Drosophila melanogaster: one gene and its partners. Changing the gene in region 2 together with the main gene of any one other region gives a genetic interaction. Each region holds a gene or a part of one and is shown on either strand. Other genes may lie near its edges.

Region 1 (7,888 bases), on a different chromosome or scaffold from region 2:
AACTAAAACTACATAATGTTACATGGAAACACTAAACTAATATACAATTTGGCCATGACAGCGGCTCAAAACACTTAAAACTTATAAAACAAATTCACGTTCGATTTAGTATTAATATCCGGCTGCTGGTGCTCATCCTCTTTCTGCTTGCAATTGTAAGCCTCACAGAGCTGATCGAAGTCGTCCTTGCTCATCTCAACGGATTCCATCATAGCCACCTTCTTGTAACTGTTAAGAAATACATTTGGTCAACACGGGCTCATTCTTCGGCTATCTAGTGTTTGCGACTTACGTGTCTCTATTGTACTTTTCCCGCATGGCCTGCGTGTTGAGCTCCTTTGCCGTTTTGTGGGTGTGACACAGATGCAACACAACCGTTTTTAGGTCCTCCAGCTTGTAAGTCGTGATCTCCTCCAGCCTTGGCGTCCACATCTCCATGCCCAAAATGTGACGCGCCAGTGCGACTGAAGCGGATGACATAAGTGATGGCAAATATTGCAAGTACGTTTCTCCCTCCATGAGCGACAACTCGGAAATATACTGTGTCAGGTAAACATTAAGTTAAGTTTCGGCTTTGTTTCTTTTTTCTTTTGTATTGGCAATAGCTTACCAGCGTCATGTACTTCAGCTTCTCAGGCATGTCGCAAAGTACAGCATAGGTGTTGATGAAGACGTAAGCAGTCGGTGTGCACAGATCGAAGGAGAGAATCTTCAAGATAACCTGCTCCATGCGTAGCACCTGCGCCTTGGTGTAACTGTCGTCGGTGAGGAAGACAAACTCACCGACCTCTGGGGGATAGATTTCCTCGTATTTTCTGAAAAATAAAAAAATAAACCCCATGAATACACACACCATTATTACCGGACTATCAAGAATACTTACGCGGCAATATACATAGCTGCCGTGCCCACCAGCTGTAACTTGGAGCGCACCACCGCCATTTGGCTCAAAAATCGATCTAGATAAAAGACCGAGAGATAGAGCGTCTCCGTGTCCAGTTTGTACTCCTCGGAAACCTCAACCAGCCAATCAATAAGGATGGAGCGCATATTGTGGCTAATGTCCTTCTGTCTGCGCATATAGAGTGGCTTGGGGCGATGTTTCTTCTGGAAGATGCAAACACATGCAAACAAATGATTAGAAACCGATTAGATTACCCGGCCTAACAAAAATTACTAAGCCAAACTTTTAATACTTTAGGTTAGGATTCGCATATATATAGCTTATGCCTTTTCTACACTCTAATCTGGCAACCAACTACCCGTTCCCAGTTTCATCTTAAGAAGGTGTCAAAAATGTACAAATTTCACGGGAGAAAAAGCCGTACAGTCATCAAATCAAGCGTATAAATACCATAGGAGAAGTGGCAAACAACAGCTGGGGGAGGGAGTTAACCGATTTTTATTTATTTATTGGTTATTTCGTAGTACGTGAGTCGCATCGAAATTCCCAGTTCGAACTTAAATTTCTTTGCCAAACACCTACATATATGTACATATATATGGGCAATATGTACATTAGGTGATTATTTTATGGTCGCTTTAACGATTATTGGAACCGTCAAGCGACTCGAGCTGCAAAAATTAAAGAATTCGATTGACATGAATATATGTACATACATCAGCATTTGTTTTATATTAAGGCAGTTAACTCCCATGAAATTATTATAGATATATGTAAATAGTCTGTAACTAGTAGGTTACAGAGGTAGTAGTAGAGGCAAACAATAAACAAAGCACCCAGCAACCGGGCAAACAAAGTCAACTCAGGCATATATCCACATCCTACTAACAAGAAGAGACAGACATATCGACCTCGAATACAGTTGAACATCTTTTATAACTAACTCCGGCACAATGACGCTCAAAATCGGTATATGCACCAAGCAGGATCTCGACGAGGCGATGAAGCTGCAGAAGCGGGAGCAGTACGAAGATGAGCGGAAGCGGCGCATTTTTAATGCCAAACAGCGTCTTTACGGGGTAAGTATGCATCTGCAGACTGGGTGAGCTTCATTGCCGAATATTCCTATTCACAGCTCGACCTAGAAATGCTGGATCGCCAAATACTTGAGAAAAAGAAGCAGCGAACCGCCCAGATGGAGTGCGACAAGAAATTTGAAGAACAGGAGCAGCTGCAGAAGCGTCTGATCCTGGCCCAGGAAATGGAGTTGGAGAAAAAACAGCGTGTGGTGGACTCGGATCTTAACTATTATCGCTGCCGCTATCAGCGCAAGGAGCAGCGCCGCGAATTCGACCTAAATGATCCGAATTTCTTGAAGAAGGCACGTCCAACAAGAGTCGCCGACAATGACATTTCGCTGGGCGTGTCCAGTGCCCAGATCTTTCAAGGCGAGGACCTCTATAACTCTGACAGAAAGCAGCGGCAGCGGGAGCAGCAAAGAGCCTGGCTGGATCAGCAAGTGCAGGAGCGTAAGAGGGCGGAGGATGCTCGCAAGCAGGCCGATAATGTGTTGATGGACAACGTTGGTTGCAGAGACAAGCATCTGCAGGAGATGGCCAAGTCTGATCACCAGATGCGCAACCAAGTCATCCAGCGAGTGCGTCAGTTCAATATCAACATGGCCAAGCAGAAGCAATTGGACCGCGAAAGGGAAAAGCGTGAAAAGTACGAGGATGACATGGCCGAGATCTATAACATGCTCTCCAGCGATATGCTAACTGAAAATCCGGATGTGGCTCAATCGCGCACCGATCCGAACAAGAAGATTGCCTTCATGTATCGCGGCATGACGCCCGAAGAACTTCGCGTGTTTCGTCTTGGACAAGATCAGCAGCTTCGTTTGTCTATTCAGCGCAAGACGGAGGCCCAGATGATGGACAAACAGTGGGAGCAATACTCCATTAATATGGACCGCACCCTGGTCCTTCACCAAATCGAGGATGATCGCCGACGTAAGGCGGAATTCGATGAGCTGATGCGGGCGAATTCCAAGTTGGCCGTGGAGCAGGATCGCCAGCGCAAGGAAGCCCTTGTGGGCCTAACCAATGCCGTCTCCGATGACTTTTACGATCAGTTCAACAAGAACTCACGTTAGTGGGATTGTATTGAAGTTCCCAACCAAGACGATTCGAGAATAATGAGCTGGATGCGATTAGAAAGCTGCCTCACTTTCTTGTGCAGCAACTTTCCATAGGCGTCCAGAACATTGTACTATTTTAAAAATACAATCTTTGTTGGGAATCTTCACGACGAAATTATAATGTTCATGTTGGAAACAAAGCATTTCAAATATTTAAAAATTTAAAAAAAAAAAAAGACAAAAACCCATCTCTAGTAAAAACTGAAATATCAAGGGAAAATAAAGAATACGCCCATTCTGGACAAAACCTAATCCTTGTGTTGTTGTTTTGTATTATTTAATGTTGTTTTCGAGTTTTGTAATTTAACTATCGATTTTAAAATATTTTTAAATTTTTTTTATTTGTTTTGGTTTTCTAGTTTTTTAAATTCTTTATCAATTTTAAAACTTTTTTGGTTTTAATTTTTTTTTTAGTTTTTAAACTTATTTTAATTTTTAATCTTTTATTTACTAACGTAGGAAACAAACTACAATAGTAGTCAACCTCCCTCTGCAAGTCGAATTCCATTGGTACCCCGAGTGTTCTACGACTTTGGACGAATGAGAAAAAGAGAGTCAACAACAACGACAAAGGATGAGACGGACGCAGACAGACAAGCGTTTCGCTTCCCGCCCAACAAACATGTGCCCGCGAGCGGGAATAAGTGTACCCATGAACCCATAAAGAGGCAGCGTTGCGTGAAGGGAATGCCAACGGAGGGTGCGACAGGGTCCGACTTCCCCTAAGAAATTACGTCTGCCTGCGTCTGCACAGAAAAGTACAATGCACATGGCCAAGTAAGTAGTAACACATTGAAAACGCAAGATACCTTGGGAAAAAATTCCAAATTTATGCCAGAAAACATGACTGCAATACCCTGGAAGATAATCAAGGAAAACTCGACCTGATAAAAGTTGTCCACTTCAGTTACTAGTTAAAAAATATCATTGTCTTTGACAATGATTACGCGATGAAAGCGAGTTTGTGAGTTTGAAATATTTTTGTGAGGAAGTCATCTAATAATATCATATTGAAGCCTATGTTTATGTCCCTGGTTTAGCTTACCTCGCTCTCCCGGAAATATTCCAGAATGTCCATCTGGTACTGAACCACTTCCAGGAACCGCTGGCGATCGTTGCGCGGCGGAAGCTCCTTGACTCTTCCAGTTGGCGAGACTCCCGTTTCAGTGCCCACGCTGATATCACTGGACTGTATGACACCGAGAATGGAGCGGTCCACGGACATGGGGGACTGAACATCCGTCACGGACATGGGTGTTGAATCCAGATCGTAGTCTACCAGCTCCTTCTGCCCAGCACCGCTGAATGGAGTGAAAAAAAAAACAAACAAAAGTTTGTTTGCGGCTTACCAAGTGACAGATGGAAACTTACAATTTCACGTCATGGTTCTCTTTGTCGACTAGGGAGGCCAGGGATTTGCCGGATGGCGCAACCTGGGTATCGTTGTTGTCCTCATACACGGAGAAGGTCTTGAATTGCTCCACCACGGGCACCACATTCGATTTCTTGGCGCCGTACTCCACATTCTCATCAACATTAAGATTTCTGACGTCACGGAAGACCTGCTGGAAGGAACAGAAGACGAAGAAGACAAATTCAACAATATGGTCAACTTACTATATTAGGTAATAATTTTATATTAGGTAATATTGCAGTGGGATTATAAAAGTAAAAACACAAAGATAATTCCTTTTACATATGCATCCTTAATATAGTAAGCAAAAAAGAAATAAAATGATTATCCCCCCCCATAAATCGATCCAACTTTAAGTTGCGCGCCTTTCCCTGGCTTCCCGTATTGCTCGTGTGTGTGTGTATGTGTGCACCTATACGCATGTGTGCGTTGCATGTCGCAATTGCTTTTGCCCTCCTTGCTTCGCTTTGTTGTTGCAAATCATCAAAAAGGCGCGTAATTGCAAGGCCTGTGTCTTTTTCTAGGTTAGTTAAGGTTCTAGGTTAGGCGCAAGTAAGTGCATTGGTCGTTCTAAGAAGAGAGTAACGTAAGATGGAGAAGTGAAAAGGATGGGATGGTAGGGGAGAGGTAAGGGAGAGAAAACCACCACCACCACTAGGAGATCTCACACATGCGCACGGTCGCAGTGGTGTGACGATCCCACCACCATAAAAATATAAAAAGGCAGCTGCATTGGAATTAGGCACTGGATGTACGGGAAATCGGCAACGGTACTTACAACTTTCCCGGCCGGACGCGGCACATTGTTGTTGCCATTGAGCACGGCGAAATTGGCCCGCGGCGCAAGCGCATTTTTCTCCGCTTTTCCCCCAATTACGGCCAGCGGCTGCTTGGTGTTCTTCACTCCGGCCGGAATCTTAATGCCCGGATTCTCCTTGTTGCTCATGTCTTGGTGGATCTGGAAACTGGCCATGGTGCGCTCTTTCCTACTCCTTTTTTCGCCTTGTAAAATGGAGTCCGATTATGCTCTGCTCTTCCCTTCCTTCTCTCTTTCTCTTAGCGTCGTTGCCTTCTTGCTGTTGTTGTTACTGCTGCTGCCGTTGTTGTTGTTTTGTGCTGCTTTCTTATGCTCGACGCTCACACCGATACGCACACATTCACAGGCTCATATGCTCAACGAAGACGCAGACATGTGTACATTAGGCGCAGGCAAATTTTATCATCGACAAATTGACGCTTGAATTACACGCACACACACAGTTTTGTACAGAATTCATTTGACTTTCAATTTCGTACGGAAGTTTGTGTCACGGCAGCGTTGGAATTAGTTTCCTTGTTTGGCTACGCTCGCACGGACTTAGCTAATATTAAGTATTTTACAAACTCCGTACTTGTTCAGCGGTTCGTGGTTTAAAAGCAATTGCTGGCTTCTTTTGATTTTTTCCCGGTCAACACGTCGTAAATGTTAGAGATGACACTGTCCAGCTATCGATAGGTCGTGGCGTCTATCGACATTTGCCGACAGTGTGGCCATATATGTCAGAAGTTTGTTTTTTAGGACTGGCAACTCCAGCAGTGCGCAAAATTTAAAAATGTGTATAACGTTAATTTTTATTTTTGCCGAAGTCCATTGTTTTTGCATAGTTTTTAAAAATGAGTGCATATTTATTTAGTTCTAAGCTTTAGAGATCAAACCAATAATACATATTAAAGGTTTATAAAAAGGGTTTGGAATAAGTTCTTCATGGGTTTGTAAGCATTGTTTTGAAGTTAATCGAATATATATGTATTATATCCATATATATAATCCATATATTATGTCCACGGTAATCGCTTAAGTTGTTATTACTGTTGCTTTGATTAAGATTAAGAATTCACTGCAAAGCGAACTTGACAAAAATCAATTAAACAACTGTTTATCAAAATATAATTAAATAGAAAGCGTAATGTTTTTGATGAAATGTTTAAATAATCGACGTATTAGGACACTTGGAAAAATGTTTAGGTTACAATTAAAAAAAATGGCTAGGCTTTTGGACTTTCGGTCTCGAGTGGCTCCAAAAATCGTTTCTGTCCCAGAAATAAATCGAAACAGGAAAAAAAACTTTTCCCCTTTTCGAAAGTCCTTTCAAACAAAGTGGCCGCTCGAAGTTTTGAACAAATTATGAACTGCATGCAACAGAAAGTACACAATTAACAACAACCACCGCGTTAAATTTAAGAGCAGCAACTCTCTAATTAACTTTTTAAAGAGCTTTATTTCGGCTACTGCGATTATTATTATTTGGCTGTCAGTGGAAAACCCAAAAAAAGTTAAGCGAAACTTTTTCTTTTCAATACGCCTAACGATGCTACCCATTTATAAAAAATATGTTAGTGTAAATACAAAAGTATATATATTTATCAATTCGGATGACTTTCACGATTAGAAAGATATAACGAAATACGCCATACGTCTTCCCTATGAATTTCTAATGGGAGGGGCTGTGAGATATTTATAGAAAATACAAATATAACATTCATTATAATAAATAATAGGTGAATTTGTTAACAGTTATGGTAATTGTTTTGATTTCTAATCTTCTTAAAAAATATGTATCCTGATTTCTTAACCCTTTTAAGTTTAAGAATATAACAACATAACGTGGTGGCTTAAATATTTGTCATAACTATTAAATATGTATTGTTTTTGACTTAATTCAGCATTGTACATACATGTATGTATGTATGACTCTTGCCACGATTATTTTGTGAACGGAAGAGTATGTTTTCTAGAGCAGCTGCGCCTCCCTAAGAAAATAAAGAAAAGGTGTATCGGATTTTGCATTGTTTTGCACGAGACATTTCGCAACTGCCGGCCTAAAAACTAAATCAGTTAGGAACCCAAAGAAGTACGAACACAATGAGCTAACCAACATTCTGATCCTGCACACAAATGCTGACCTTTGCGATCTCGATGTCCTGGAGACCAGGTAGCAGGACAACCGACTAGCAGTTACACAATTGTATAATATCGTTGGCCCCAGCAGCTCTGGAAATATACATAAAATACCTTACAGGGTCAAATAATAATTACCAATATAGTAAGGCAATATTTGGCGAAAGTCAAACGTTTTTTTATTAACTAACAAAAAATGCTGTTCGTTTGTAATTAATCTAATTCATTAGTATCTTTGTTCATCAATATGGGACTCTTTAAATAGCCGTTAATGAACTGAATGTTCCTCTTGCCCTTCGGAACCGGAAGATTAAGGCTCCAATCAACAGATGATTCGTGCAAATAGATTTTAATTTTTCTGTGACTGTACAAACTTAAAGCTTTTAACACAAATTCAAAGGTGATTTCCCTGGCAAACCGGACACTAAGTAC
Region 2 (4,450 bases):
TAGCGGATTCACAAGGGATCTCAGCCGCTCCATCGAGCTGGTCATGGAAGTTCCAGAAATAGGAGTCAGAGGACCCTACTCGGTGGACGGAAGAATACTCATTCTGCCCATCACCGGAAATGGCATTGCTGACATACGCCTCAGTAAGATTTGCCTCCCACAGCTTTGAAATCTAAAATTTTTAATGTGTTTCTGGAATTCGCAGCTAGAACAAAGGTACGTGCACAGATCAAATTGAAGCGCGTCTCCAAGGGCGATCATCAAACCTACGCCGAGGTGATGAACATAAAGGTTGAGCTGGATCCATCCCATGTGACCTACCAGCTGGAAAATCTGTTCAACGGCCAGAAAGATCTCAGCGAGAACATGCACGCGCTTATCAATGAGAACTGGAAGGACATCTTCAATGAACTGAAACCGGGCATTGGCGAGGCCTTCGGACTGATAGCCAAGTCGGTGGTGGACAGGATCTTTGGCAAACTGCCGCTCGAACAGCTCTTTGTAGTCTAAGACCTTAGTACAAACACCCTAATTAGTCCAAACACAAATCGTAAATATTTATTTGACTTTCAAAATACAAATGCAAAGCAAATAAGAAAAACTGGTAAGTTCCTCATACAAATAAAACGTAGTTGCAAAATAAATTCAGGCACTAAAGGATTTCTTATTTCTAAAGTTTAAGTAAAATACAGATTTATAAAAGTGAAAAGCAAACACATTTGTAGTTTTGCCAAATAAATGTAAACACAGTTAAACTTATATAAATTTGTTATCAATCTCAAAACAGGGGTAATAAATCGTTTTCATTTTGATTTTGTTTGTATCGATTTGATAAATATTTTTAAAAAGCTTATATAAGCTTATTCACGAATACAAATATGGAGTCCGCACTATTGGACAAATATATCTTACACTATAGATATGTTTACTTTACGAAATTATTGCTTCCCATGAGAAGAGTAGCTTTTTTAAATTGCATATTTGCTGTCATTCTTTTATCGATGTGCACAGCATTAGTTTAGCTTCTGAAGCGAGGTACACGTCCGGTGTGACGAGGTGGCGATGATGGCACTTCCTCGGTCTCCTCAAACTCCTCCTCCGACGCTGACGGCTGCTCCATGCTCACTGCGCCAAGCTTCTGTGGCCCGCAAATGGCGACAACACTGGGCGGGAAATAGGTCTCTGGATTGGCGATCAGAGCGGAGAGGAACTCATGCTGCTCCAGAACGCAATAGATCGGACCTCCCAGTTTGTATCTCTGGGCGATGAACAGATCCTCCGCACTGATTCCACGCGCTTCGGCCGCCCTTAGCTCGGCACCGGACAAAAGGATGGCCCGCTCGTTCAACGACTTGTGGCTTTCGGTCATGGCCCCGGAGTAGCGGTGCTCCAGATCCATTTCCCAGTTAAATACGTGCACACTGAGATGCGCAGCCTTGATCCAATCGCGCAGACCAATTAGCAATCTCTCCATGCGCTGAGTATGGACTGTAAATAATAAAATCGTTGCAGGAATAGCTGAATGGTTGCTTGCAAATCTACAGCTTACACTTGTCCGCATTGCTCCCCGAGTTTCCGTTTCGATTGCGCATTTTGGGCTTTAAAAGCAGTTTGAAGTTGTCCAAATAGGATGCGAAACCCTTAAGCAACTTGTCACACTCGTCGTATTTCTCGAAATCGAAGTGGCGATTCGCCTCCAAGGTGCGGCGCTGCTGGACAAGGAAGCGCTCTACTTTGGTGCACAGCACCTGCAGTTGGTAGCGCACATTCAAGCTCTTAGGCATCGTGCTCTTCACCGGCATATCGAACAGATAGTCCGAGGGCATTGAGTTTTGGCGCGAGAAGCCCAAATCGGCGGTCAGGTGATCATGCAGGGATCTGAACAGATTCATCAAACGCAGCACGGCGTTGTGCTCTAAGCTATTGTTTAGATAAGGAGCTTTTTATTATGTGATATATTTGGGATATACTCCAGAAGACTCACCAATCGCCGTGCAGACCAATCATATGCAGTTTCTCAATAGTTATGGGCAGTTTCTCAATATTATCCGCGGACGCAGAGCCTTTACTCTTCCGGTTCCACACATTTTCCTTCTGCAGTTGCTTCTGCTTTGGCCCGGTGACCAACACGCCTCCGGATCGCGACTTCTTGGCCGGAGAACCGTCGAATGCAAAATGGCGCGAGCGCTTTTGAATCTGTTGCAAGCAATCCAAACCGTGGAATTCGAGGAGTGGTGCAGTAACGTCACACAACCGGAGTCTACCGAAGTTCTCCTGGATTTCGGATAAAACGCCCGATGTGCAGGTTGCACCATCTTCGTTCGTATCCTCGTACTCACAAGTGGCTTTCCTCGGATCTTCGTTTTCATTGCCTTCCACCATTAAGGCCAAATGCTCCTCCATCTGCTTAAAATTGTGGTCCAACTGCTGGTCGTCGTTGCCCTCAGGACACACGTCACGTGCATTAAGCATTATTCTTAAGTTAAATCACACAAATCACTCGATTTTTGCCTTTTAAATCTTTCCTTATCGCCAGGTTCTTTTTACCGTTTGAAATGCCTGACGCCACGCTGTCTGCGAATTCAGGAGAAAGAGGAAGAATGATGGCGTCCAGACTCTTTGTTGTTAACGTATCGATATCATGTCGAGTCCCAGAACAGGGTTGCCGTCGCACAAATAAGTTTCAATTTATGGTCACCTCAAAAGGTCATTGACCCGGGCGCATTTAAAGAAATTTGAAATGCGATTCAATAATCCATTACGAACTTTACATTTTAACTACAATTATACACACTGATTTGGTCGATCACAACCAAATCAAATTGCTGATTAATTATAAAACAACATGCAACAATTTAGGCCACCTATATTTTAATTATCTAGTGGTTTTGTATAAAGCAAGCCAAAGCATTATTTAACAATTTGGGATTTATCACATTTTGTATAAATTATCATATATCGTGACAATAATAATGAAGTAGCAATAACCCATTTTCATATTCAATTTGTTTTTGTAATTCTGACGACGATAAGCTTCTAAAATTGCGCGCAAATTTAGAATAATGTATGGCATCCCCACTTCCTAACATCTGGCAGCTCCGTTAATATGACAAGCTTAGCTTAGACACAAACCAGTATACATTTTACATTTGTTGGTTCGAATACTGACTAGTTAAACAACGTGACTATTTTCATTTTTTTAATTATAAATATTTAAATAAATAAATAAATTCCGCTTCCCAACTTCTATAAAACTATACACATTTGATTCAATTTTTTCCAGACTGACGCAGCAAAATTTTGGCGCTCATCCAAATAAAAATAAGACAAACAAGCTAAGTATATGCGATCCGAATAACCAACCATTCTAAAGATTTTTTGAGTCGGTTACAAAATTCTTGAAAAAATGCTGAATGCCCAATCATTAGAAGCCTCACAAAATCTCGATTTAGAGCCTATGAAACATTCTTTATTGTTGTGAAGTTAATCAATGGTTAGATCTAAGCATAACTAGTGAAAAATTCCTGAAGTTTTGCCGCACAAGGGTATTTGCACACACAAGAGCTTCCATTATGGGCGGTTTCTTATCGGGGAACCCCAGCGATTGAGCTCCACTATCTATCCTGTTGGCAATTATCCACTTTCTATAAACAAATACGACAAGAACTGTTTTTTTTTTCACTTAGCCGACCACAACATCGTTAATTCTTTAATTCACAAAGCACAATGAACCAAAGGACCGCAGCAATTGAATTACAAGCTTTCTCTCGTATGGGTTCTGTGGTTTCTTTACGTTTTAGAGTTTTTATTAAAAAATTAATAATTTGTGGTTCATCGCGAGTCCCATTTTACTGTGGCTTCCTGCGGAAGGAGCAGCCTGAAAGAAAGACATCGTTTGGGTTAATTGCGAAGGAACATTGGACAGTGAGCATTTGGAGCATACCTTCTGTCAGCTTGGCGCGTCCTCCAGTCGGCTGGCACAAAATGGTAGCGCATCCAGCGCAGACCACGACGCCTTGGGCGTGGCTGAAGACGGTGGTGATCCTGTAGCAGCCGGGGCACTTCACGTCCATGAAGTACGAGTTGGGGTGCTGGACCAGGCGCTTCAGCTTGTGCTTGCGCTTCTCCTCGGCGGGCAGAGGGTGCAGAAGATCTTTTGCTAGCTGCAAGGTGAAAATAGTTTCAAAATTAGTATAAATTCATTTAATGTATATATTATACTATATGATTACGGCCAAATGTGTTGGATTACTTCAAGCCTAGATAATCCTCTAAATCTTAGTTATAAGTCGAAATTTCTTTGGCGCCAAACGTGTTGGTCCAACTTTGATCCAATAGGAAAACCAATTCTTTATTAATTAACGAAGAAGTAACTTTCTACCAATTTAAATACTTGAAAATATATTTTAAAGTATAACTACTTTGATCTTTAAGTTCTCAATTAACAATT
Region 3 (5,320 bases), on a different chromosome or scaffold from region 2:
GTTAGAATTGCACATATATTTTATGTATTTTATTTAGCTAAACACGGAGACATATCCTTACACGATATCTACGAGCGACGCGACCAGTGTGACTGCGCCTACACAATTGAAACATGTCACATGCAGTGTGACCGTTCTTGGCTGAATGGAAAAGCTCTCACTCATATAAAATTCAATAATAGGTTAATAAAAAAAAAATACTGACTTATTTTTTAAATACAAACGTATTTACTCTAACAATATAAGTAAAAAGCTAAAATTATTTTAATGTCTATTTAGGAAACCTATCGATATATCGATACACATTTTTTTTTGGCCACCCTAGAAATTGCTAACGTATTTTTAGCAACAAATTGAATTCCAAATTTGGAAGTTTTGCTTTAGGTGCCCATATTAGGATACAAGCTCGTTTTAGTAATACAACAAGTAATTATCCCAAAAACAATATAGGTTAACTTTTTTCTATTTTAAAATATCTCCAAAATCAAAGATCAAAAGTATCCGGTTTTAATGTAGGTTTTTATTAATATACTTTTCCGTCTAATCCATTATTGACAGTGACTACAAAAAGCGGATAGATTTTATATTATGCCGATTTTTGATAACAAAGGGGGTTCCGTTTCGGTTTCGTTACGCGGGTCTTAGACAATAGTCACGATTAATCGCTACTGTTGCTTATAACGATAAATAAATGAAAGACAAAATAATCAGTGTGGGATCGGACCGAATAAGGAGCGGCCAGTTATTAGCCGCCTACAAAGTGTAGATCGATTTCACGTTGGAGCCCTGCTTGACCATCGTGTCCTTGTGCAACTGATACTGCAGCGAGTTGTTGCGTCCCAGACGCAGGGCATCGCGCAGCTTGTGACCAATCTCAAGGGCAGCTTCCTCGTTGTTTCCGTCGGCAGTCCAGATGGCTGGAAAGCATTAATCGTTAAACAAAGGAATTCCGCTGAAGTTGGGTGTGCGTGAAAACTTACATATCTTGTTGCTCTTGCCGCGAATGTTTATAACAGCGCCGCAGATCTGATCAGAGTGATCGAAGGCCTCACCAATCAGGCAGAGCAGCTGGAAGGCAAAACAGTTGTAGTTACTCATATGCGAAAAATATTTATGATATAAGCTCACTATTGAATGTTCCTAAGACAAAAGCTAGCACTAGCGTATTTTTAGCTGATATTTTCTATAAGTTATAATTTATATTGCAAAATCATACACCTATTTCTATATTTTTGCATTTCAAGAATGTACATTCACTATAAATAGACCATCCGCTCACCACTCGTTTCTTTGTGCACTTACCACATCGAGCCATAGGTTATCCAGATCGGTCTTGGAGCTTTTGTTAAGGGTAATGACCCAACGACCGCCCTGTTTGTTGGCTGCATCCTCCCACATGGGACTGCAAATGAGATATCAGTTAGTAAAGGTTATCTTGGCAGAATTGCAATAAACAGCAAACCCACCGAATGTTCTTCTTGAATAGCGAGTAGTCACTACCCAGCTTGATCTCTGATGGGGGCTTGATGTGGTTGTATAGGCTCCAGAAGTCCTCGACGGTATCGAAGCTGGTGATCTCGTTTTGCATGTCCTCCCAGGACTTGGACCGATCGTTTTCAAGGTACCACAGCGTCCAGACATTCATGAGCGGGTGTTTGTATAAATGCTCGGTGCGCACAGCATCGTCGCCGGCAGGAGCAGTAGTGGTTGCAGTGTTGCCTGCTGGTTCACCAGTCTCCTGTGGGTCCTCCTTGGGCTTGACATCCTTAGCCTCGGCGGGCGCTGCAGCCGAAGTTGGTGGTTCCGGACGACCCTGCTCGGTGCTGGGGGCGCTGGTCTGCGGGAGAAGATGGCAATGGATGGGAAGGGGAATCAGAAGATTAGATTAGCTTGGCTTAGCGACAGGCGCACTGAGAGTATTACTTTGAACATGGACTTGGGATTGGCAAAGTTCTTCATTCTGTGAAAGTCGCTCTGCATGTTGGCGGCCGTGTTTATTGGATGCGTTTGATGGTAGGATCAGTTCTTTTTCGGCTCCGGAGTGGGTTCGGATCGGTTTCGATTCGCCGTGATTCACTTGCCGCTCTCTCTCTGTCGCGGTGTTTGTGATAGTTGATAGTTGGTTGGTGCGTGTGTGTGCGAGAGAGCGAAGCTTTTGATTTCTGTTTGAGTGTGTGTGGATTTTGGATTGTTTCGTGATATCTCGCTCCCCTGCAGTTCGCTCTTCACTTGTGTATTATTAACCAAAAAACTAAGTAATGATAATACAAAAAACTCGTTAAACTTGTTGTTGCTGTATGGTTGAGTGGGTGTTGTAACTAATTATTGAGTATATGGTGTTGGAGTATCCTGTTTCACTTAAAATCGGACTAGGCTACTACTAAAATAGGCGAACTAATGCTGTTCCTAACGAACTCGGAATCGAAAGGGGCGATGGAATTACAGCACACACACACACGCGCACGTATCTGACATAAAAACACAGATTGCCTGTTGAAAGAATTGGAATTGTTGTTTTATATTTGAGTTAAAAGAGTTACTTGATTTTATTTTATGTTGCGGCTAAAATTCGTGTTCGAGTTCAAAGCAGCGGCGCGATTAACTGAAAAAAATTAACGTCAAAGAAAGGAGGTGGAAAGTGAAGAGGGAAAGCCAACGGTTTATTTACTGCAATGGCCGACAAAAATATGATTTAACTGTTCGCGACTGGTTAATTGCAGTAATTCACTCTTTTTCCATTCTTTCCATATTTGTCTCTCCGCTCTCCTATTTATGTATATGTAGCTAAAGAAGAACACACCCACACACACGCGCGCGATGTCTTGACAAGAGAGAGAGAGCGAGAACACTGAAAACGTGTGGTATGCGTATGCAAATGCGAAAGGAGAGAAAAAGAGAACGAGTGACCGCGAAAGAGAGATAGCTTGATAGAGACAGACAGAGATAGCGATAGCTATGACGTAGACAATAGCGTGCAAGTACAATTAATATTAAGCAATTGTGCAAAAAATAATCGGTGAACACAATGATGATGTAGCCACGCCAACTGCACACTTTTCCGCTCGACTATCGCCTCCCCTCTTGTGCAACAACCCTGTTTTTGTTGTTCCTGCCACGGCTCAGCCGAAATCGAAACCATGCGGCTCGCCGTTTCTCGCCTTACCTTCTCCGTCTCCAACACTACCATGATTTCGATGTATCGAAATGTATACTAGATATCGGTTACGCACTCAAGCTGCGTAGGTTACTGGGCTTAATTATTATTCGAATTATTTAATTCTTTAATTAAGTTTGGGATTTTGGTGGCCAGACAGTGTGGCCGTTGCCTAAAGGAAAGTTAGTGACGAGCGACCGAAGGCAGCTATCGATTGTTGAACAGGGCAACTCTGGAAATGCCTGTCACTGACTGATTGTTATAAAACCCAAGCAACCGTTACGTTTTTAAGGTTTCCATATATGTCATCTCTTCTATCTCTTTTCATGCGCGGAATTTACCATTTCACCATTAAAATACTAAAATTGTTAAATGTTTATCGGAGCTAAATATCATACTTTCTATTGTAATATTTGTATTTGAACCGAAATTCATTTTCTGTCATCCAGGTTTAAAATGAAACGATATTAAACAAGTTTATAACCAGTAAGTTACGCCTATTAGGAATCATTGAGGCCATAATAAGCCATTTTAAATAAACGCTTCTTATTGTCAAAAAACAAATAACTTGCTCCCATGGGAACTTTTTCAAGAACTGACCGAGCTTAACTTCCGCATAAAATGGCAAAGCAAATCTTAGAGCTTCAATCAAAGATATAAATGCAAACTTAATTGACATTTCATCTGATTCCCACAGCGCGATCGCCATCAACAACAACGTCATCGTCATTTATCATACACAATTTGTTGATGTTTTGAAGCCAGCAAAAAATAACAATATATTATAAATAATTATCAAAAATGTTTAATACGGACAAGCCCAGAAAACCTGATTTTTGGTTGAAAATTAGGTCTTCGTTTTTATTTAGACACTGGCATCATCAATTGGAATTTAATAACAAAATAACAAACATAAGAATGAATCAATGAGTTTTCCATATAATGCGACTCTATATTGTTTAAGTTTTCTTGAGAATTCCAGAAACTTTCGAGAATATCCAAAAATAAAATAACAAAGTAACGATATTACTTTAGTTAGAACTTGGACGTCATTGGTTAAATTTTGCCACAAAACTAAGTCTAACCTGTTGGTGAATCATGACTAACCCAGAACCTTAGTTGTTACCAAAGCTGCTTCGTATTTGAATCCAACCAAAATTCTTTCCACACATTATTGGCTCGCCTTTGTCTGCTTTAAAAATAGCCAAAAGATCCCAAAACAACATGGGAATATTTATGAGGGATGGATAATATTACCGCTGATGATGTGGCGCTTTTAGAAACGCTTGACTTTCAAAATAGACTGTTGCAGTTGAGACGCAATCCGAAAATTGAAGATGCTTACGAACTTAGCCTGAGAAACGTGAAGCGTGTTTATTATTTAAATAGTTAAGTCATTTTGTAACCGATCAACTGCGCAGTTGCCCTTGTAAATGCCTAATAAGCGGCTTTCAAGAGCTCGGCACGATCGTTGGATCGATGATCCGAAAACCCAAGATCCCTTCCCGAAACCCAAGATCCGTGGTCTCTAATTACACTTGAGCCGGTCTTATTGAACTGACACTTGATCGCCTGTCCAAGTGTTGATGTGATTACCCATCGCATCCTCTATTCCAATCGCATCGCATCTAATTATGCAGCAGTCAATTGCGGACTTCAAGTGCTTGGCGCATGTCTAAACAAAAAAACTTCCGCCGATCTACAGGAAACCCGGAGTCAAAGTTAAACCTTAGGCAGTATACTTTGCATTAATTGGAAGTAAAAAGTAATTGAAGCGCTCAAAGATGCTTAATTGTAAATAAATCATAGTCAAGTGGTTAGGTTATAAAGTTCGATAAATAAGGTTTCGACTAATGGGTACCTTGTAACTTATACAGAACCTGTATAAAAAATTGTACTTTTTCGTACTATTTTCATAAATTATGCAACAAATAAAATTAAGAATTATGAAGAAAAATGGGTATCTAAATGCTAGTTATACCATCAAGATAAGATGATCGAAACCAGATTTCAGACACCCAGTCGCCGAATATGCTTACTGAACCAATGAATTCCGATTGGTCAAAAAAGTATCTTTAAGATACTCGAAACTGACAGCCAACGAGCGCTGAAAATGCCACTTGAATCGTTTCGAAAAGGGTTCTGTGGCAGTCAACAATAGATGGG

Evidence for each region. Genes that interact genetically often act in the same process or in processes that back each other up.
Region 1: of bam (region 2) and CycA, changing one suppresses a phenotype caused by changing the other (phenotypic suppression), as found in Drosophila melanogaster (one study listed by BioGRID).
Region 3: of bam (region 2) and eIF4E1, changing one suppresses a phenotype caused by changing the other (phenotypic suppression), as found in Drosophila melanogaster (one study listed by BioGRID).

Annotation. Positions count from the first base shown.
Region 1 is NT_037436.4:11,827,578-11,835,465, forward strand, and holds the start of CycA (cyclin A), read right to left. Parts: upstream 6,002-7,888; 5' UTR 5,492-6,001; coding exon 5,297-5,491; intron 4,670-5,296; coding exon 4,476-4,669; intron 4,406-4,475; coding exon 4,150-4,405; intron 3,268-4,149; exon of another isoform or gene 3,060-3,267; coding exon of another isoform or gene 2,040-3,059; intron 1,984-2,039; coding exon of another isoform or gene 1,858-1,983; exon of another isoform or gene 1,672-1,857; intron 1,613-1,671; exon of another isoform or gene 1,453-1,612; intron 1,108-1,452; coding exon 884-1,107; intron 816-883; coding exon 611-815; intron 541-610; coding exon 293-540; intron 229-292; coding exon 75-228; 3' UTR 1-74. Other genes in the region: CG7264 (uncharacterized protein), read left to right, coding at 1,858-1,983, 2,040-3,059; CG43064 (uncharacterized protein), read right to left, coding at 7,670-7,888. UniProt on the Drosophila melanogaster protein: Essential for the control of the cell cycle at the G2/M (mitosis) transition. Interacts with the Cdk1 and Cdk2 protein kinases to form MPF. G2/M cyclins accumulate steadily during G2 and are abruptly destroyed at mitosis.
Region 2 is NT_033777.3:25,242,505-25,246,954, forward strand, and holds bam (bag of marbles), read right to left. Parts: upstream 2,606-4,450; 5' UTR 2,473-2,605; coding exon 1,985-2,472; intron 1,921-1,984; coding exon 1,550-1,920; intron 1,489-1,549; coding exon 1,019-1,488; 3' UTR 535-1,018; downstream 1-534. Other genes in the region: CG11854 (uncharacterized protein), read left to right, coding at 4-143, 206-510; RpS27 (ribosomal protein S27), read right to left, coding at 3,849-3,877, 3,944-4,163. UniProt on the Drosophila melanogaster protein: Regulatory component of a deubiquitinase complex consisting of bam and otu. The complex deubiquitinates K63-linked polyubiquitinated proteins, antagonizing the ubiquitination activity of Traf6 and regulating the IMD immune signaling pathway.
Region 3 is NT_037436.4:9,399,117-9,404,436, forward strand, and holds eIF4E1 (eukaryotic translation initiation factor 4E1), read right to left. Parts: upstream 3,345-5,320; 5' UTR 3,188-3,344; coding exon of another isoform or gene 3,164-3,187; exon of another isoform or gene 2,801-3,163; intron 2,690-2,800; exon of another isoform or gene 2,541-2,689; intron 2,491-2,540; 5' UTR 1,981-2,490; coding exon 1,924-1,980; intron 1,838-1,923; coding exon 1,467-1,837; intron 1,403-1,466; coding exon 1,303-1,402; intron 1,069-1,302; coding exon 981-1,068; intron 918-980; coding exon 754-917; 3' UTR 502-753; downstream 1-501. UniProt on the Drosophila melanogaster protein: Recognizes and binds the 7-methylguanosine (m7G)-containing mRNA cap during an early step in the initiation of protein synthesis and facilitates ribosome binding by inducing the unwinding of the mRNAs secondary structures.